Linked DNA regions of Saccharomyces cerevisiae S288C. The gene in region 1 interacts genetically with each later gene. Each region holds a gene or a part of one and is shown on either strand. Other genes may lie near its edges.

Evidence for each region.
Region 2: mutations in DUR12 (region 1) and PSP2 together harm fitness more than expected from each alone (negative genetic interaction), as found in Saccharomyces cerevisiae (one large-scale study listed by BioGRID).

What each region holds. Positions count from the first base shown.
Region 1 is NC_001134.8:636,187-644,437, forward strand, and holds DUR12 (bifunctional urea carboxylase/allophanate hydrolase), read right to left. Parts: upstream 6,025-8,251; coding exon 517-6,024; downstream 1-516. Other genes in the region: FTH1 (Fth1p), read left to right, coding at 1-357; YBR209W (uncharacterized protein), read left to right, coding at 6,397-6,714. UniProt on the Saccharomyces cerevisiae protein: Hydrolysis of urea to ammonia and CO(2).
Region 2 is NC_001145.3:234,623-239,308, reverse strand, and holds PSP2 (Psp2p), read right to left. Parts: upstream 2,722-4,686; coding exon 2,718-2,721; intron 2,356-2,717; coding exon 578-2,355; downstream 1-577. Other genes in the region: YML018C (uncharacterized protein), read left to right, coding at 3,357-4,538. UniProt on the Saccharomyces cerevisiae protein: DNA polymerase alpha mutation suppressor. Suppressor of group II intron splicing defects of a mutation in MRS2. May play a role in mitochondrial mRNA splicing.

The DNA.
Region 1 (8,251 bases):
CATGTTAATTGTTGCAATGGTGAAAAAGATGGAGGTTGGATGATTTTTACTGCCATTTTTGGTTGGACGAATAGTGCTACCGTCGGCTCTGTAATTAGCTACAACGCCTACTGGTTGGTATTAATATGCGCTTTGAAACTGCTAATGATAGAAGAAAAATACGGATATATCCCATATCTACCTATTAGCTGGCAAAAGAAACGTATTATGAAAAGATTAAGCATTGCCAAGGCATCGCTCGATCTCAAACATCATACTTCTGAACTCAACTCTAGCACATCAGAGCCAGACAGTCAAAGACGGTCCAAAGATAGTTCTGTGCCCCTAATAATTGATAGCAGTGGTTCAGCAAATTGAGAACATAACAAACACACGTAATAATTTTAAGCTTCTTTTCATACATTTTACAGTAAATACTATGTACATATATATTCGTCATTAAAAATAGCTAGAAAAAGGCATGCTATAAAGACTAAATGAGTGCTCCTTTGATTTTAGATGCCAACAAAAGGTAATTCATGCCAATGTCTCTATGACGGCCACTATGTCACCAGAATCAACCATATCACCATTGCCATGGCAAATCTTGATAATCTTACCCGATTTAGGAGCGGATATAATCATTTCCGCTTTCATGGCTTCAATAATTAGTAGCCCTTGACCTGCTTCAATAACATCTCCAACAGATGCTATGGATTTCCAAAAACGCCCAGAATACTCAGAATATACAATTTCTGCACCTTCTGGGAAGTCTTCTTCCTCGTCAGGTTTGACTGTGACACTTTCTTTTAGTTCAGAGTTTGCATTTTGAATCAATTTGGCAAATTCCTCTGCTCTTTCACCAAGCTGGCCCTCCTGGAATGCTGTGATGGAATCTTTGTTTGCGTTGATCCATCTCAAGTATTCTTGATGATCAAAAACACTCTTTTCGATATTGACTTTATAAACACCATTATCACAATCTTCAGTCATTTTATCCAAATCTTCTTCAGAAACTGGGTAAAATTCGACTTGGTCAAATGGGTTCATCAACCACGGAACCTCAGAAGATGCGGCCAGACATAGTTTGTCCCAAATTGGTATTGTTCTACCCACTAATTGGTACCCACCAGGACTGTTAGCAGCATATATGCACATATACATACCGCCAATACCGACTGCACCTCTTTCTGTATATGTTCTACTTGGGTTGTACTTGCTTCCCAAAAATCTGTGACGAGGATCTAATGGAACAGCACAAGGCGACCCTAGGAAGACATCACCTAAACCTAAAACCATAAATCTGGCAGAATACAACATATCATAAACTTCATTCCTTGAAATTCCATTTACATTGGCAATGAAATCAACGTTATTTGGCAACCATGGAGCAGACGAACGAATTGTTTCTTGATACCTTTGAACACATGCCAAAGTCTTCGAGTCTTCGAAAGCCATCGGTAATCTTATTATATTAGAAGTTATCTTCCAATTTTCATCAAACTGGATTTCTGTTTCATATGCCACCAATACTTTAAGCAATTCTTTTTGAGTGACTTTGTAACCATCAAATTCTATCAATACAGATCTAACACCTTGGGACATTTCAACAATACCAATAGTCTTATTCTTTTTCACAAGGGAGATCAGGCATTCAATTCTATAGGAAATATTAAAATTCATTTCATTATCACCGTATTCCACCAAAACATAACGATCACCTGCTTGTCTGTATACAACCTTTGGTGAAAGCTCATTCACTTTTTCCATTTGTGCAAGAATAGGCGTTTCGAATGATGGTAAAATTGAAACAGAGTCTAAGCGCCTTAACTTAGTACCATCCAATGATTTAATTGCAACATCCTGAGATTCCTTTAAGGATCTCGAGCTTTCGTAAGAAAGTGGCACAAACTGAATGGAATCACCGGGTTTAACCTGTCCAACCTTCCACAGTTCTGCTTCTGGGACAACAGCTTGACACACAAAACCACCTAAGGAAGGACCATCGCAAGTAATAATAACTGGCTCATCACCCGTGAAATTAATTGCACCCAGAGAATAAACGTAATCGTGAGTGTTTGAAGGATGCATACCACCTTCACCACCATTACTTCTTGCCCACTTAGGTTTAGGTCCAATCAAACGGACACCAAATCTATTGGAGTTGTAATGAACCTTCCACTTCTCACTGAAAAATTCTTCGATGGACTCAGGTTTAAAAAAATCTGGAGACCCATGGGGACCACATGTTACACCAATTCTCCATTCCTTAGTTTCGGAAATTTGAGGAATTAATGATTGAGGAATATTCTGTGGAAGGCACTCAACTGATTTATTTTCTTCATTGCTTGGTAAGAATAGTACGTCTCCAAGTTTTAGCACCCTTCCATTGTATCCACCGACATTTCCTAGAGTGAAAGTAGAATAAGAGCCCAAGTATTTAGGCACATCAATGCCACCCCTGATACCTAAGTATGCTCTACAGCCGCTTGTCAACTTGCCAATGGATAAAGTAGATCCCCTCTTAACTTCGACCGGTTTGTGTTGGGGAATTTCTTGGCCGTCTAATGTACATAGAGCGGTACCACCAGTAATGGCAATGACAGTTTCACAATGGAAAACGATGGATGGACCAGTCAACGTTACTTCAATGGCAGGAGTCCTGTAGTCATTACCAACAATTCTGTTCGCCAATCTAAACGAATATGCGTCCATTGGACCAGAGGGCGGAACACCAATTCTCCAGTACCCAACTCTACCGGGGTAATCCTGAATACTAGTGTGTGCACCGGGCAAAGTAATTTCGATGGCGGTAGGCTCATATTGATAAGAGTTCAAAATGTTTGTAGAAACTTTTGCTTTAGCAAAGAAATCACTGGTAATGATAGACTTCAGGTAGTCAATGTTAGTAATACATCCGTAAACTTTTGTTTCTTCTAACGCTTGATTTAACTTGGAAATTGCATCATCACGGTCTTTCCCATGAACGATAATTTTGGCCAATGTTGGATCATATTCGGGAGAAATATTAGTACCTTTCTTAACCCAAGTATCCACTCTTGCCCAATCAGGAAATTTCACATCGACAAGTAAACCTGGAGAAGGTCTGAAATTTTTCAATGGATTTTCAGCATATAAACGTGCCTCCATTGAAACCCCATTGACTTCTACCTTTGTAGAATCAAAATCAGGTGCATCATTAGCGGCAATCCTGATCATCCACTCGACCAAGTCTAACCCTGTAACCATTTCTGTTATTGGATGTTCAACTTGTAATCTTGTATTAACTTCTAAAAAGTAAAACTCGTCCTTTTTCTCATCGTAAATAAATTCAACCGTACCAGCACACTTGTAATTCAATAAAGATCCCAAACTTTCAGCTGCCTTTCTTAACGCCAACCTCGTCTTTTCTGGCAAATTTGGTGCAGGAGTTTCTTCGATAACTTTTTGGTTACGACGCTGTAAAGAACAATCACGTTCGCCCAAAGCAATGGCCTTACCAAAACCATCTCCCATAAGTTGGACTTCAACATGCCTGGCATTTTCGATAAACCGTTCCAGAAATACACCAGCGTCACCGAAAAATGTTTCACCTTGATGTTTCACAGTCTCAAAAATATGCTCGATGTCCTCTTCAGAATCGACTTTCTGCAAACCAATACCACCGCCACCAGCAGTTGACTTCACCATAACTGGGTATTCCAATTCCGCTGCGACTTTCTTAGCCTCTTCAACTGATGTGATAAGCAAAGAGCCTGGCACTAGAGGAACGCCAGCCTTCTGTGCAATCTGTCTAGCAGAATGTTTTAACCCTAAACCTCTGATAATATCTCCCGAAGGACCAACAAAGGTAATGCCAGCACTGGTGCACGCATCAGAAAAATCCGCATTTTCCGACAAGAAACCATAACCAGGAATAATGGCCTGTGCATTAGTTTGCTTAGCGGCATCTATGATCTTATTCATGTCTAAATAAGTTTGGGCTGCGGTTGTGCCATGAAGGGGTACAGAAACATCTGCATCAGTAACGTGTTGAGAATATTTATCAGGGTCGGAATAAACTGCAACTGATCTAATACCCAATTTTTTTAATGTCTTGATAATACGAACGGCAATTTCACCTCTATTGGCAATTAACACGGTATCAAATAACTTCTTCTTTTGGGACTCTTTTTTCTTCAACATTTCAAAATATGCTCTAAATCCACCATACTTTGTGATATCAACTGTACCTTTGGCTTTGTAACCAGATTCTTCACAAATAAAGGATTTGATCCATTCACCAGATTCTAACTCCACTGAACCTATTCCTAATGGTTCAGGAACCATGGAAATAAAAGCACCGAACAGTTCTTTTGGAACACTGTACACTTCTAATTCGATTTGAGAGCCATTGCTATCTTGAACTCTTCTCAAACCAGGTTTTAAAACTGGTCCATTTTTGGGCAAAGCAAAAAGCTGGTAAGCTTTTGATGTTTTTGTTGTACATAAATATGTTGCATTGACCTTTTCCAATTGCCAATGTAGAGGCAGACCCTTAAGATGTGCACCGACAACAGCCAATTTTATGGACGTAGATGGGTCATAGTCTGGTCCCACTAATTGATCGTTTGCTGGCTTTACTGAAGAAGAGGTAAAAGTACCGTATGTTCTGGAACCGTTGGGGAATATATTTTGGAAATAGCGGTTAGCCAACTCTAATAGTGCGTAATCTGTGAATTTTTTACCGATTAAAGTAATACCATTTGGCAAACCATCGTCTCGGAACCCTGCGGGAACAGCAAGGGCTGCCAAATCTGCCAAGTTGACAAAATTAGTCCATGTGCCTTGTCTTGAATTGACTAGGACTGGTTCATCCGCAACTTGTTGCATAGTAGGATTTAAAGGACATGTGGGCACACACAATACATCGACTGATTCGAGAAGTCGTCTCACTTTTTGCAAGATGCCTTGTCTTTTGTATTCAAAACTGAAGCAGTCTACTGCACTGTATTTCTTGGCCCCTTCTATAATTGAAATAACAGTAGGGTCCAAAGATTCCTTTGGTGGTTTACTGTCCAAAAACGATTGAATAGCTTGATAACGCTCGGCCACCCAAGTACCTTCGTATAAACAGCGAGCTAACTCTAAAAGAGGCTCAAAATCAATTTCTATGACGTTAGCGCCCGTTCTTGATAGATTTTCGACAGCATTGGAAAACAGTACAGGATTCTTGGTTTCACCATACCATGGGATATTTTTAGGAATAGCAATCGTTACATTGCTTGAAAATTTTTTCAAAGGGTTGGAAACATAGGGTCTAGAATATTCATCATTATCAGGATCTGGCTGGCACATGATGCGGAAGCAGCGTTCAGCATCACTTAGGTTTAATGCAAAGATGGAGACGCAGTCTAAAGATTTACAAGCGGGAACTACACCTTGACAGGAAAAGACGCCCTTTGTTGGCTTTAGGCCAATCAGGTTGTTCAAGGCGGCTGGGACTCTACCAGAACCTGCTGTATCAGTACCCAATGCAATTGGTACGATACCTCTGGCGACCACCGATGCTGACCCAGCGGAGGAACCACCAGATACATGCTCTTTGCTAAAAGCGCAAGGTGTTTTCCCATATGGAGACCGTGTGCCGACTAATCCTGTGGCAAATTGGTCCAAGTTTGTCTTACCCACGATTATCGCACCTGCATTTCTTAGTAGTTCTACTACTTTAGAGTCTTTGGAAGGCTCATATGCAAAGGATGGACATGCAGCGGTGGTGGGTAGACCTCTAACGTCGATGTTGTCCTTAACAGCAATAGGGACACCGTAGAGAGGTAGAGTTTCTTTATTTTCTCTGCTCTTTAAAATTTGGAATTGGTGCAGTAAATTTTCCTTTGAAATTAGCGATATCCACGCATTATCGACTGGCGCAACATTTTGAGAGTCTAGTAGTGATTCAAGAAGCCTTAGTGAAGCCTGGGAGCTTGATGACTTGTGGAAATCAATCCAGTCTTGGATTGACCAACCTAACGATATTTCAGCAGTTGTATCGGAACTAACTGTCATTTTTTAATCAAAACTGAAATTTATTGTGACTATAAAAAAGATATTTCTATTTTTTATCTTTTATATTAATGTAAATTGAAATTTGGTGTATATCAGCTGCTCCACTGATATATTAATATAAGCTTATAAAAACTTGAGCCTATATGATCCTAGAAAAAAAAAGCTTAGCTAAGAGAGCCTGATATTCAGAAGTGAGCGAGTATACAAATCTCACACCTCATCTGCTCTAGTGTTTAAATACAAACATTCAATTTCCAACAACGTCTAACAAAGCTCGATTCAAATTAAGAAGCAGGAAAAAGCAAAACATCTGCGTGTCTTATCTCAATGGCTTGCGCTAACTGCGAACAGAGTGCCCTATGAAATAGGGGAATGAACGCATATTGGTTTCATTATAGAGCGTCAATCAAGAAAGAGGCACCAAACTATAAACGCACATTTCTCGGTAGGGCTAGGAACGCTTTCCTGCTTATCTTATCTGAAGCTTATTTATTGTTCGTTTTTTTATCTTATCTGATAAGGGGAAAAAGCCTGGAAAAGCGCGTAAATGATGAGGCGAAATGCAGCCAAAGATGCGTGCCGTTGCAGTTAGCTAACAACCTGGCGTTCGGCGATCGCCATAAGAGATCTGCCAATTTTAAAAAGGGTATTGCCAATACACATAGTAGCCTTATCTGCAGCAAGCCATAGGACTAATGTGTTCGACGTCGTTGGGGAAAAAAAGCAAAGAACATGTTGCCTTTGAGGAGACTGCAGCAAGAAAAAAAGTTCAATAAGGATTGCAAAAAAAAAAAGAAGCTCGCACTCAGGATCGAACTAAGGACCAACAGATTTGCAATCTGCTGCGCTACCACTGCGCCATACGAGCTTTCTATTACATGTGGGAAGACTAATATAGATAGTATAGTCAATTATACGAAGTAGTGCCAGCCCCACATATAAGAGAACGGTGGAATATTTGAACTGTATGCAAAGAAGTTTCAGCGGGGACCTTTATTTTAGAAAAAGCGAATAAATGTCGCTCATTTGTTTAAACGGTATTTGTTGGACTGAGGGTTGCTTCCATACGGAAATGCTAACGAAGAGGATGTGCTGAATTTTGCTATGTTTGGAATGGGCTCCTCCATCTGGGAATGATAATCATTTTTATTATTGTGTGTTCAAATACACTTACACATCTGTTTTTTCGTGGTAAGGAATCCGAGAATCACATGAGGTTTGGGATAGTTGCTGGCAATCAATGAATGACATCAGATAAAACGAAAGGAGAAATAATATGTTGATAATTAGAGGTTAAAAATTAGTATTAATGAAGAAATAATTACTGATCTTCTTATACTAAATAAGAGAGGTATATAAAACACACGCCGATTGGTCATATTAATCATGACCAATATAATAGTGATTCCGGTAGTTACTATACATTGATGTGACGACTCATATTCCTCATATATGTACCTACCATAACATGTTCAACTAATAGGTCTTTAACACAGCTTCAGTATTGTCTGAGCTTCTCGTTTAACATTCCTTCTGCAATAGGCGCAATCACACTTAAACGTATACGAGTTGTACATTAATATACGATGTAAGCATTGAATTGTTACCATAGCAACTCATGTCACTATTAATTACTCTCGTTCCAACATAATATTATTATGGAGTAATATCTATTCCCTTTCGTGGATTCCAAGATTCTCGAGGTATATTTCCAGTATATTTTGTATACCTGATATTATAGCCTTTAGCAACAACGAAATCAACATTTATCTCAAATTTCACCTGTTTCTCATTTTTAAGCGCCTAGCCCATCTAATCATCTTAACTATTCATCAGGGAAAATTAATATACATTGTGCTCTTAATGTTTCGAAAAATAATCAAAATCAATAGAAATAGCGTTTTGCTACTAACAAAGCCCTTTGATCCAAAGTTGGCTTCTGAGAACTTAACATTTCAGTAGAACAAGCCTCAAGCTTAAATGAAGAATGGCAAAGTAAATGAGACCTCTCTCTCCATATTTTGCTCAGAGCCTGTTAAGGAAAACAACACCGCACATTAGTGTGAAAAACTTTCCCCGCAAGCTGTTGGAAGATGAATCATTTATTATCTTTTGACTGTTAGCTACATTACTAGCTGTTATCAATCTCTCAGACGATTATATGAATATTGAGATAGTTGTTGGGATTAACTTATTGTTAGAGGCTATAGCATCAGATATACAAAAT
Region 2 (4,686 bases), on another chromosome or scaffold:
AAAAAACTTCCTTTCATCGCCTACTGCCTTCGCGTGTGTATTGAATGCTCATTCGCTCTATACAATCTAGAACTCTCCGAAATTTCGTTCTACTTTGCTTTCGCTATATTAAGCTGTTTATATAAATTACGTAATGGTATATAGTCATATAGCTAAATTCAATGGTTCGTTTCTATAGATTGGTTCTCCTTAATTTTAATTTTTTATTGCGTATAACGTGAGAGATTATTTTCAACCCCCCCAATACTTACGAAACTTCATAAAACTTCTTTAAGAAATAAGGGCCTATAAAAATTGTGAACTAATCAAGAGAAAATATATAATCAAAATTGATTAATCAGAAAGACGAATTTTTTTTAAAAAAAAAATTCAAAACAACTGAAGGGGAAATGGACAAAAAGCAGCATAAGTAGTAAAAAGTGGAAACAAAATAAGGTCAAAAAAATCTGAGAGGAAAAGGAACGCTATATTACATTACTCAGAACTGCGTAACCGACTAGAACAAAAAAAGGAAATAGAGGAAAAAAAAAAAAAAAAAAAAAAAAGAGAAAAGAAAATTAATGGGTCAGTACATGACTCATAAAGGCATGTCTGTTGTTCTGTTATTGTAGTTGGAGTAGTTACCGCTGCTTCCACGTCCACCACGACTACCTCGATTGTTATATGCGCCTCTGCCAAATCCCCTTCCTCTGCCAAATCCTCTTCCTCTCGAACCTCCATTCATACCGCTGCTGTTATAGTTACCGCGTCCATTGTTCCTTATAGAATCATTATTACCTTGGCCAAGGAACCCACTTGCTGGTTTGAAAATGGAATATTGTTGTGTATTGGATGTTGAGTTCGTGAAATCATTCTTTTTATTTCCTGAGGCATCTAAAGATGAATCCGAGGTTAACCCTTCTTCATTGTTTTGTCGATCATGATATCTTGAACCGTTATTATTATTACTACTACTATTATTATTATTATTATTATTATCATTAGTGTTGTTGTTGTTGTTGTTGTATGAGCTGCCACCACGATATCCGCCGCGATTACCACGATTGTTATGCCCACCTTTATAACTGCTGCCATTGGGGCCTCCACGATATCTATTACTCCCTCTAAAATTGCCATTATTGTTATTATGGTTTCCGTTATATTTGGTTCTGCTCATACTATGTTCCCTTTCCACATTCTTGAAAGTGAACTGTTTATCAACATCGGTTTCTGAACCTTTATCTTTATCATTTGAGACATCTAATTGAGCTTTATCGTCGCCACCTTTCTCAAAGCCTTGTTCATCGCCACCTTTGAACTCGTCCGATTTATCGGGCTTAGATTGTAGTTCAAGAGCTGGTGAGTCAAGCTTGCTTAATGGAGTTCCTTTCTTGGAAGTTTCATTGACCACAGATCTCTCAACTACTTCAGAGTAACTTAAAGGTTTGGGAGTTGGGGTTGCAGAATGTGATTCCTCCTCTGTAGGTGTCTGCTTTTTCAAGATTGTGATCTTGCTGCCTGTTGCAGTGGTTGCCATAGAATCACTACTAGGGATTAATGATGCCCTCAGGGTTGTTGTATCTTCCACGTGTAAATTTTCCATTTTTTCTTCAATGTCCAAAATCTTCGATTGCGTATCAACCGGTTTAGCACTTCCAAAAGGATTGGATTTTGACCGCTGAGTCTTAGTAATGAATGGTTTGCCAGCATCGTCTTTAGGGTCTGTTAATAATTTCACCTTCGTGCTGTAATCCTTAAAATCTTCGAATTCTGCGGGCGCTGTTGTAATGTGGTAAATTTCCTTCAAAGGAGTGGTCCAATAGTTCAAAATTTTGTCCATATCACGGGATGTATATAACTCGACAAATGCTACCTTCGAGTCACGTTTGAAATTTTGATCAAAGATTGACCCCGATTTCAAAGTAGAAATACTTGGATTTTTATTTATCTCCCAAAACAGTTTGAACTTAATAAACTTGGTAAACTTTGCTTGAAAAAGATCTTCAATGTCAAAGTTGGAAAATCTCGGTGGTAAATCAGAAAACTTCACAATATAAGGAGGACCTTGCTGATGCTGCAGCGGGTGGTGATGATTTGCAAAGTCCCCCATGCTACCACCACCAAAAGGCCCTGCATTAGAAAAACGTGATCTGTTCATGGGTCCATGACCACCGTGTGGGTGCTGTTGGTGACCATCACGTTGATGTTCGCCTGCCTTGGTTTGTTTCAAGATGTCAATATTCGTAGTATTGCTTATAGCATCCAAATTAATATCTTCCTCATCCCATACTGACTCGCCTAAAGTGTCGTTCCCTAGAAATTCTTCTAGGGACATTTTCTTCGTAGTGCCATTATTATTAGATGTATTATTTGTTCCTGAATAGAAACATATGTAGACAATTCCGTGACTTTCTCTTCTTTGCGGAAAACCAAGCTGATTAGAGAAAGCAAAAACATTGCAAGACCATGTCTAATCAGCTTGATTTTTAGAGAAACGATAAAAAAGAAGAAAAGAGGCCAAGAGAGAGCATTGTTCAATTGTTAGTGGCTATTTAAACTTGATCTATTTTCTTAAAAATCCACATGAATATTATATCCTCTTTCATGCAATAATTCCTACGTATGACTGAAACAGAAGAAAATAGTAAACATAAAATACTAAAACAAAAAAAAAAAAGGAAACAAAAGAGGACCGTTATGGATCAAAAGGGGTTAATGAGAAAAACCGAGGCACATACCCATTTCTTCCCGTTCCAGCACTCTATGTGATTAAGATCGAGTGAGCAAACGTGTTTTTCTAGGATGATTTCTTGACCAATTCTTTGTGGAGATAAGCTTTAAAGTCTGAAGAACGTATCTCTGTAGTTCTTCTGTCTCATTTAAAATAACCCAAAATTTCCGAAATTTCAGTGCAGCTCAACCCTAAATTAGACCTAATTGAAATCAGTAGGGTTAGCTCGTATTTGAAATATTACAAAACAAGTCCTATAAAACTCTAATCTTAACCCTTATGTTAGATTTTCAGCACGTGATTTTGCATCTTTTTTAGTTTTGCTTAAAAAATTTTGACCTCTACCTTTTCTCTCTCTGTTTAATCAGGTAATAAAAAGTTCAGCCAAAAAGTGTGGTTGTGAAATTTTATTCTGGCGATGCGCAATCGGAGTCTTTTCTATTTCTTGCAACTCGCAGAAGAAAAGGTATTTTACTACATAAATTGTATATATTCCTTCTCAGGATCAGCAACATAAGATATTGGCTTTGATATTATATTGCATCTTATTGCATTGTGTGTTGTGGTTAAGACAAATAAATAAAGGAAGTTTCTTCTTTTTTTTCCTTCCTTTTTTTCCTCTCTCAGATAAAAGTTCAACAGAGCCATGGTGTCGAAGGATCAAACGTCCTTTAATAAGAGGTGGACCTTGGGTCTTCTGATGTTGGGTCTAGTCATTATTTTGTGGGTTTTATCGTCCTTCCTGATAAATTTGATCTTCGAGGATGACTCGTATAGAAAACCATTCTTTATCACGTACACCAATACTGCCGCCTTTATCTTTTATCTTTTTCCAACTGCAAAGGCCGTTGTGGTGAATTACAAGGACACAGGCCGTGCAAACGTTCACCGCGAACTAATTATGGAGGAAGAAGGTACTGGTAGTGATAGCAATCGCTCGGTTGATATGACTAGCCCACTGCTTACAAACCTTGAAGCAGGCACGCATGCCAACCAAAAGAAGAGGCTAACGTTATATGAAACAATCAAGTTAAGTGCTGAGTTCTGCATACTTTGGTTCACAGCTAACCTTGTGACCAATGCCTCGCTGGCATTCACATCGGTGGCATCGCAGACAATCCTCTCCACTACTTCTTCCTTTTTCACCTTGTTCATAGGTGCTATTTGTCATGTTGAATCGTTGAGCAAGTCCAAAGTACTCGGGTCGTTCATTTCCTTTGTAGGCATAATCATGGTCACCAAATCAGATTCTCATCAGCGCTACCAACGCCATATCGCGGACGTTAGTGGTGATGATAACGATGCCGTGCAAGTTCTGATAGGCAACTTGTTGGCACTTGCAGGTGCTGTACTTTACGGTGTCTACAGTACTTTATTGAAGAGAGAAGTCGGAGATGAGACTCGTGTTAACATGAAGATTTTTTTTGGCTTTGTTGGTCTCTTTAATTTACTTTTTCTATGGCCATCACTGATTGTATTGGACTTTTTTGGCTGGGAACCATTCTCTCTGCCCAAAGATCCTAAAGTTGTGGTAATAATCTTCGTCAATTGTCTCATCACATTTGTTAGCGACTTTTGTTGGGCAAAGGCTATGTTACTAACGAGTCCTTTAACCGTCACCGTAGGATTGAGCATAACGATACCCCTAGCAATGTTTGGTGATGTAATCTTTAAGCACAAAACCATGTCTGCGCTCTATTTATTTGGTGCTACCCTCATCTTAGGCTCATTTTTCATCATTAACAAAAGCTCTGAGGAGGAACATTTTGAGAACTCAATAACGGCTAGCAATTACGAATCAGTGGAGGTGCCAGCAGCAAACAACTGATCTTAAAAAAAAAAAAAATAGAAATAATAAAAAAAACTATTAGCATCTAAATTTCAAAGTCAGAAGAAATTTTTCCCTATATAGAATGTATATTATAATTTTTCTAATAACAATTTCATTCCTGTGTGATTTAATAATCTTAAACATT